Bombyx mori: one gene and its partner. The protein of the gene in region 2 binds, or shares a complex with, the protein of the main gene of each other region. Links are inferred from orthologs where the notes say so. Each region holds a gene or a part of one and is shown on either strand. Other genes may lie near its edges.

Region 1 (3,955 bases), on a different chromosome or scaffold from region 2:
CAGTAGGACCAGGATTGGTTGTTTCATAGACGGGGTGTGCGTAAACAACATCAGCTACGCAGACGATATGGTGCTGCTGAGCGCGTCTATCTGTGGCCTAAGGCAACTTGTTTCTTTGTGTGAGGGATACGCCAAATCACACGGTTTGGTGTACAACTGTAAAAAGTCGGAGATCATGGTCTTTGAGACCAGGGGTGGGACGCATGATAAAATACCTCCCGTAGTACTCAACGGAACGCCATTGACAAGAGTTTATAAATTTAAATATCTCGGCCATGTGTTGACCCCTGATCTCAAAGATGATGAAGATATTGAACGAGAGCGGAGAGCGTTGTCGGTTAGAGCAAACATGATAGCTCGCAGGTTTGCACGGTGTTCACTTAAAGTCAAGGTCACCCTCTTTAGGGCCTACTGTACTAACTTTTACACGTGCAGCTTGTGGGCTGGATATACTCAAAGATCGTACAATGCTCTCCGTGTTCAATACAATAACGCGTTTAGGGTGCTGGTGGTGCTGCCCCGCTTTTGTAGCGCATCAGGGATGTTTGCAGACGCGCACATAGATTGTTTTTACGCTACCATGCGTAAAAGGTGTGCATCTCTGGTAAACAGAGTGAGGGCCAGCTCCAACAGTATCCTGAGCATGATCGCAAGCAGGCTGGACTGTATATACATGGGTCGCTGTGGTGCCATCTCCCATGGGATGTTACCACAGTAATTCATTGTGATGTAAATATAAATACTAACATAGGTCTAAGTCTTATTAACAATTTATATGAGTCATGGATACTTGAAATAAAAACATTATTATTATTATTATTATTATTATTAATGGTTTAATATCTGTGAAAGTGCACAAATGAAACAAAGCCGCTGGACGTAGCTTCTAGGGATCCTCCAAAAAGCCCACTAAAGAAGTCTCAGTAAATAACCACCATTTTACTGAGATTATATTTCATCCCATGTTATCTTATCTCAATTTATTTCATTTCATCTCAGTTGATTAATGTCTCAAATTAATCATCTTCATTTCATTTTATTTCATTTGACTCCCTAAATCATTTTTCATAAAAATAAGAATTTAAATATAAAATAAGACATGACCCAAAAGTCTTAGTTACCAGGACATAAAATCCCTTTAAAAAAAGTGTATTATGGCTTTGAAACATTTGAAAGAATGTTGATTTGTGACATTTGTGTTTGTCTAAATTGATACCATAGATAATACACATAATAATATAAAGTTCGTCAAATTAATTTTCTAAATTAAATAATTTGAAATTTTATTTAATAATGGCTACGACTGTAAACCAGAAAGCGTACTTGCAAAAATACCTGGCTGGTCCATCGGGCGATAAAAAGAAAAAGAAAAAAAAAGTGCTAAAAGGAAAAGGGTAAGTCAACTGTAGACAATGTGAACAATAATTGAAATTAAACGTGAAAGAATTTACTATTTCTAAAAAAAATACCTTAAATATCTACCGTTTTGATATTTACAATTGTATTTTGGCATTATATTAAAGTGCTGTCGTCACACTAAAATGCATTTTAAAATTGAAAAAAAAATCATGTACATTTTCACGTATTCTCCTTACAAGTTATTGTATTTTAAGTAAGTATTGATTATTTGTATAATGAAATACATAACAAATGCGAATTAATTTCAAATTTCTTATTCCTGTCAATATTTTCATTCAGTATGGATGAATTTTTTGGTTGCTTAAGCATGTTGTTCTAATAAGGTTCGAACAGTACATTAACTATATCATCACTCTCGGCTCATCTTCCTTCAAAGACGCAAACGTCAGTTCCAAATAAAGAACAAAAAAAAATTCTTTCATTAGTGAAAGATACAGATGACAAATAACCTTACCTGTTGAAACACTAAAGTGAATATAAAAAATGTATTTTCTCATCTAATTTTAGGTTCAAAATAATAGACGATGACATTGACCTATCGAAGCTACGACCCCTTGAGGGTGACGAGTTAGATGTGTATGATGAAGGTGATGACGCACCGCAAGTAGCAGGTATCATCGATGAAAGACCAGAGCATATAAAAAAACAGGAACAATTCACCACTAGTTCTAAATGGAAGATCGTGAATCAGGTACACATGTTTATTACTTTATTTTTACTGTCAAGCCTTCAACATATTAAAAAACCATTCTAATAGAAATCTTATTCATCGATTATAACAGACACCGAAAATCGTTACAGGATGACGGATTCAACAGCAAACTACAAATTGAAGAGATAAAGAAAGATGTAAAGGAAACCGAGAAAGAAAACGAATTGGTCTTTGGAAAAATGTACAGTGATTCCGAAGATGATAAGCCAAATGTTTCAGAAGCTTCGCCGTCTGGAAGAGCTAAAAGCAAAAAAAAACACAACAGTGACAGCGACTTCAGCCCACCAAGAAGAGGGAATCCAGTGAAAAGGAATAATTCTCCTAAAAGAACTACTGAATATGATTCTGATCTTTCACCACCTAGAAAGCATGAGGGTCAGAGAGCTGAAAAACTTAAAAAACCAAGTCGTTGGGACAATGAGAAGGATAAGTCACCAAAGTCTTTAAGAGCTAATAACCACAGAAGATCTAAGAGCTCTGATTTGTCTCCTCTAAGGAAAACCCAAATGAATAAGATTTCTTCAGGACAAGATATGAAAATTCAAAAAAGATATGATGTGACATCTCCCAGAAAATCTAGAAAAGATGATTCAAAACGAAATAGACTTAACTCAGTTTCACCTCCGAGGCGAAAAAAATCCCCAGAGAAATCTAAATTTGGTCACGATAACAGACAGAGCCAGTTAAAAAAGTATAATGATACAGATTATGGTTCGAGGTATGACAAAAGATCTAACAGATCAAATTCAGATTCTGATATGTCTCCCCCAAGAAAGAGTAAGAGACAAATCTCAGAATCTCCCTGTAGAAATGTTCCACTAAGAAAAAAAACGAATGATAGTGATTCAGATTTATCTCCTCCCCGTAAAAATATAAGATATGCAGAAAACAAGTCCTATAGGAATGTAAGCAAAAAACCTCACAGGAGGAATGACACAAAAGACAGTGGTTCGGATTTATCACCACCGCGAAAGCTTAAGAATATAGATAACTACAGAAGGCATGACTCTGAACGTAAAAGAAAAGACAGAAGTTCAAAAAGAAATAATAGCGATTCTGATCTTTCTCCTCCTAGGAAAGATAGGTCTAACAAGAATGACAGTCCCCCTCCAACCCATAAAAAAATGGAGAAGACTTTGGAAGGAAAGAAAGCAGGATTACAAGATGCCAAGCAGCTGAGGCAAGAAAACGATGACTTTAGAAAGAAAGAAGAGGAGATGTTTAAGAAAATGAAAGATGATGTTTCAGGCAGGAATGCTCAAGTTGTGTCAAGGAAAGGTTAGAATTATTAATATAAAATTTAATTTAAATAATAAAAAAAAAGAATATTACACATATCTACGGCAATCTAATTTAAAATTATAAGTAATCTTTGTTACTTAATCTTACTTTATTACTTATTCTCTATTACTTTAGTACTTAACAAATGTTCACGATTGACTTCCACCATGAAGGAATAACATCGTGTAATAAAAATCAAACCCGCAAAATTATAATTTGCGTAATCACTGGCGGTAGGACCTCTTATGAGTCCGCGCTGGTAGGTACCACCACCATCCTGCCTATTTCTGCTGTGAAGCAGTAACGCGTTTCGGTCTGAAGGGTAGGGCAGCCGTTATAACTATACTGAGACCTTAAAACTCGTATCACAAGGTGGGTAGCGCATTTGCTTGTAGATGTCTATGGGCTCCAGTTACCACTTAACTTCAGGTGGGCTGTGAGCTCGTCCACCCATCTAAGTAATAAAAAAAAGTTACATAGTTAAAGTCAAAATAAATATGTGAGCATTCATTGTTCATGGAACATATTTTTATACAAAAATTT
Region 2 (4,104 bases):
ATATTAAATTGACGTCACATCTTACAATGCTGGCAGTGCTTATCGGAGCATAGCTGTAGTGTGGCTGCTTATGGCGTTGTTCTTGAAATCTTTCCGCTTTTCTTTGTGGGTGACGCATTTACGTTGTAAATGTTTTTTTTTTATGATTGAAAGATTACTGGTGGCCCGGAGGCCTTTCCAGCTTCACCAGGACAGGTGGGCGAGCAAAGGCTCAGCCAGGAGGGGTGGGATTTGCTAACAGCTACCCGAGCGCCTCCGAAGGAGACCTAACAACTCGAGAGCAATTGCTTCGCGAATGAATCTACTACCGGATCGGAATCGCGACCCACTGAGAAGATCCGGTGAGAAACTCAGCGAGCTGATGCATGGGTTAGGTTGCACGTCGACCTCTTTGTCGAGTTCGACGAGTACGGTTACCGGGGTTCCTCAGCCTGCTCCTAGTGTTAGAGCTGAAGGTATCTAATGTAAGAGTTATTGGATCTGATGGATCCGTAAGGACATGTCTAGGGCGACGACGGTGACTTGCTCCTGCGTGATCAGGATTCGGGGAGTAATCAGCGGCGGCAACGATAAGGCGATTATCATGACGTGTCTATGGGCTCCGACGACACGAGAACCCTCTCAACGTGGCCGCCGATAACTACATTGCCGATCTTGCGGACCAAATGGTAAACATTCGACGTCACCCAAAATACGTCATCTCGGATCCTCCTGATCCACTAACGGTGCTTTTAGGTACCCCAAGCACCGGTCATCGTTCTCGTCAAGCCCCTCGCTTGCGACGAAGGACTGGGTGAATAAATTAACCCACAGACACAGCCCACTGAGTTTGTCGCCAGATCTTTTCGGTGGGTCGTGTTTCCGATCCGGTGGTAGATTCTGCGCAGCACTGCTCTTGCTAGGGTTCGTGTTAGCAACATCGTCAGGTTTGAGCAACGTGAGCTCACCTACTAGCCTGGTGACGCTGATATGATCTCTCTAGAACATCAGCTTAGGTAGGAAAAAAAAATCTTTGCTGCAAACATTAGGATTATCCATTAAATTAGCACCTAACAGCGCCGAGAGTGGATAATCTAAAAAAGTTAACTGAATTTGTCCAAATACATAAACACCATTTTACTGATATTATATTTCATCTCATATCATTTCGTTTCATTTAATGTCATCTCAAATCTCAATTGATTAATGTCGCAAAAACAACTTCATTTAAATTTTTTTAAACAATACTTTACTTTATTAGGCCGTATAGTATGATACCTTCACCTTTTCAGTTGGAAAACGGAGTTACTACTACTCTACTACTACTGACATGACAGTAAAATAAAAATGTCAAAACAAAATGGCTGTTTTATTAAGGTCAAGCTGGATTTTACTTAGTGCACGTTCTACTTTTTCATCGAAATAAATTTCATGATTTTACACATAATATTGAAAATGAATAGTTTTAATAATATTGAGTTCTAGATACAGTATTAAATTCTTTTATAAAAAGTTCAATTGTAGTCTAGTAGTGTCAAAACAAAAATCATAAGAATGGAGAAGACTAACACCAAGCAGAAGAAAGATAAATACGAGGAAGATGATGAAAGGCGTAGGTCGAAAAGGTCGAGACGGGCTAGATCTAGATCTAAGTCACTTGAGGAACAGCAGAATAGGGAGTATAGAAGTAAACGCCGGCGTTCCAAATCACGCTCACCTCATTACAAGGCTAGGGAAGATAAACGAGTTAAAGACACACAAAAAGAGCCAGAAACAAAAAAAGATGCCTCTACAAAGCCAGAAAGACGCGCAAAAGATACTGATATGTTGAATACTAGAACAGGAGGTGCATACATTCCACCAGCAAGACTGAGGATGATGCAAGCGCAGATCACGGATAAGTCCTCGATAGCTTACCAAAGACTTGCCTGGGAAGCTCTCAAAAAGTCAATTCACGGTCACATCAACAAAATTAATGTCGGTAACATAGGTATCATTATAAAGGAATTATTGAAAGAAAACATTGTCAGAGGTCGAGGTTTGTTATGCCGTTCTGTTATTCAAGCCCAGGCAGCCTCGCCAACATTCACTAATGTATACGCGGCTCTAGTATCAGCAGTCAATTCACGTTTTCCTAATATCGGGGAGTTGTTACTGAAAAGATTAGTGATTCAATTCAAAAGAGGTTTTAAACGCAATGATAAGTCAATTTGCATTTCCTCTGCATCTTTCATTGCACATTTAGTGAATCAGAGAGTGGCACATGAAATTCTGGCTTTAGAACTTCTCACTTTACTAGTTGAATCACCAACAGATGATTCAGTTGAAGTTGCCATAGCATTCTTAAAGGAATGTGGCCAAAAATTGACTGAAGTATCATCTAAAGGTGTAAATGCAATTTTCGAGATGCTAAGGAACATTTTGCACGAAGGTCAGTTAGACAAAAGAGTTCAGTACATGATAGAAGTAATGTTCCAAGTTTGGAAGGATGGGTTCAAAGACCACCCGGCACTGATTGAAGAGTTGGAGCTCGTGCCTGAAGAAGAACAGTTCACACATCTATTGATGCTGGATGACGCTACAGATCCTCAAGATATCCTGAGTATGTTATATTCTATTAAACTATCCATAAAAAAATAAGCCATAAAACACTTAAGTAGATTATCTGTACAGTCTGTCAATTGAATTATTTGTTCCCCTAAGTTATTTAATAGCTATTGAGGGTATGCACAAGAGTTATTGTAACACTTAAAATGCTAAAAGTTTTGAGTGTATATAACACTCTAAACGAGTAAAGTTTTAATTTTTAATAGGATTAATCAAAAATTTTTATATATAGTTTACATAAAAATGCTTTTAGCTTATTTAAAAATGTAACTTAAACAATCTCAATTTTTTTTCATATACTTTTTGCTTTAAGTTTTAAGATAGTAGTACTCTGTGTTAGTGAATTCAATATCCATTATTTTAGCCTATTTTTATTTTCCATCGTATGTATTAACTCATTTATGCCCAACATTATTGAATGTTATAAACAATTTATCTTAATGCTCCATTTAAAACAAATGTAAAATAAGCAAATTAGTATAAAAGAATAAAAATAACAATTTTCCCAAATGCTTCAGATGTTTTCAAATTTGATGAAAAGTATGAAGAGAATGAACAGAAGTACAAGAATCTTTGCAAGGAAATACTTGGTTCTGATGCTGAGTCCGGTGATGAAGATGGTTCAGGAGAAAGCGGTAGTGAGGAATCTGATGAAGAAGATGAAGAACAACCAAAAAAAGAAATGACTATTATTGATAACACAGAAACAAACTTAGTGGCTCTGAGACGCACTATATACCTGACAATCAACTCCAGTTTAGATTTCGAAGAATGTGCTCATAAACTAATGAAGATGCAACTGAAACCAGGACAAGAAGTGGAACTATGCCACATGTTCTTAGACTGCTGTGCTGAGCAGAGAACATATGAGAAATTCTATGGCTTATTGGCCCAAAGGTTTTGCAACATCAACAGAATATACATCGGACCTTTCGAGGAAATTTTCAAAGATTCATATTCAACAGCACACAGGTTGGACACGAATAGACTCAGAAATGTCAGCAAGTTTTTCGCCCATCTGCTGTTTACAGATTCCATTAGTTGGGAATCTTTGGAATGTGTTAAATTGAACGAAGAAGACACAACTAGTTCTAGTCGGATATACATAAAGATTCTGTTTCAAGAACTGGCTGAATACATGGGACTAAAGAAACTGAATGACCGTCTACAAGATCCGTTCGTATTACTTTGTTTTGATGTTTTTTTAGTTTTATAATAATAAATAAACCCTCAATTTCAAATGGAAATATGACAAATGACAGTGGAAACTCTTTGAAAGGATAGCTCAGGGCACAGACAAGCGATTATATATTGCTGAGAGCAATGACAGTTGTTATGAGAGGTTCACAATAATGAATGTTGATTTTAACTACAATTGCTACATTGCTATGCTCATGGGTGTGATTTAATACTAGCTTTACCCTTTCTTTTGAGTTAGGAGATGGTTTCGGAACCAGTGAACAAAGTTTACGGCTTACCAAAAACTATCTTTATGGTTTAATCTTGCGAACTTTATTA

The links. Proteins that work in one complex are often made in the same cells at the same time.
Region 1: pre-mRNA-splicing factor CWC22 homolog (region 2) and BUD13 homolog share a complex: the UniProt entries of both Homo sapiens proteins name them as parts of the minor spliceosome. The link is inferred for Bombyx mori from reciprocal best matches to the Homo sapiens genes CWC22 and BUD13.

What each region holds. Positions count from the first base shown.
Region 1 is NC_085130.1:5,568,881-5,572,835, forward strand, and holds the start of BUD13 homolog, read left to right. Parts: upstream 1-1,155; 5' UTR 1,156-1,293; coding exon 1,294-1,394; intron 1,395-1,926; coding exon 1,927-2,110; intron 2,111-2,220; coding exon 2,221-3,409; intron 3,410-3,955. UniProt on the Homo sapiens protein: Involved in pre-mRNA splicing as component of the activated spliceosome. As a component of the minor spliceosome, involved in the splicing of U12-type introns in pre-mRNAs.
Region 2 is NC_085110.1:1,337,975-1,342,078, reverse strand, and holds the start of pre-mRNA-splicing factor CWC22 homolog, read left to right. Parts: upstream 1-1,304; 5' UTR 1,305-1,533; coding exon 1,534-2,581; intron 2,582-3,104; coding exon 3,105-3,762; intron 3,763-4,104. UniProt on the Homo sapiens protein: Required for pre-mRNA splicing as component of the spliceosome. As a component of the minor spliceosome, involved in the splicing of U12-type introns in pre-mRNAs. Promotes exon-junction complex (EJC) assembly.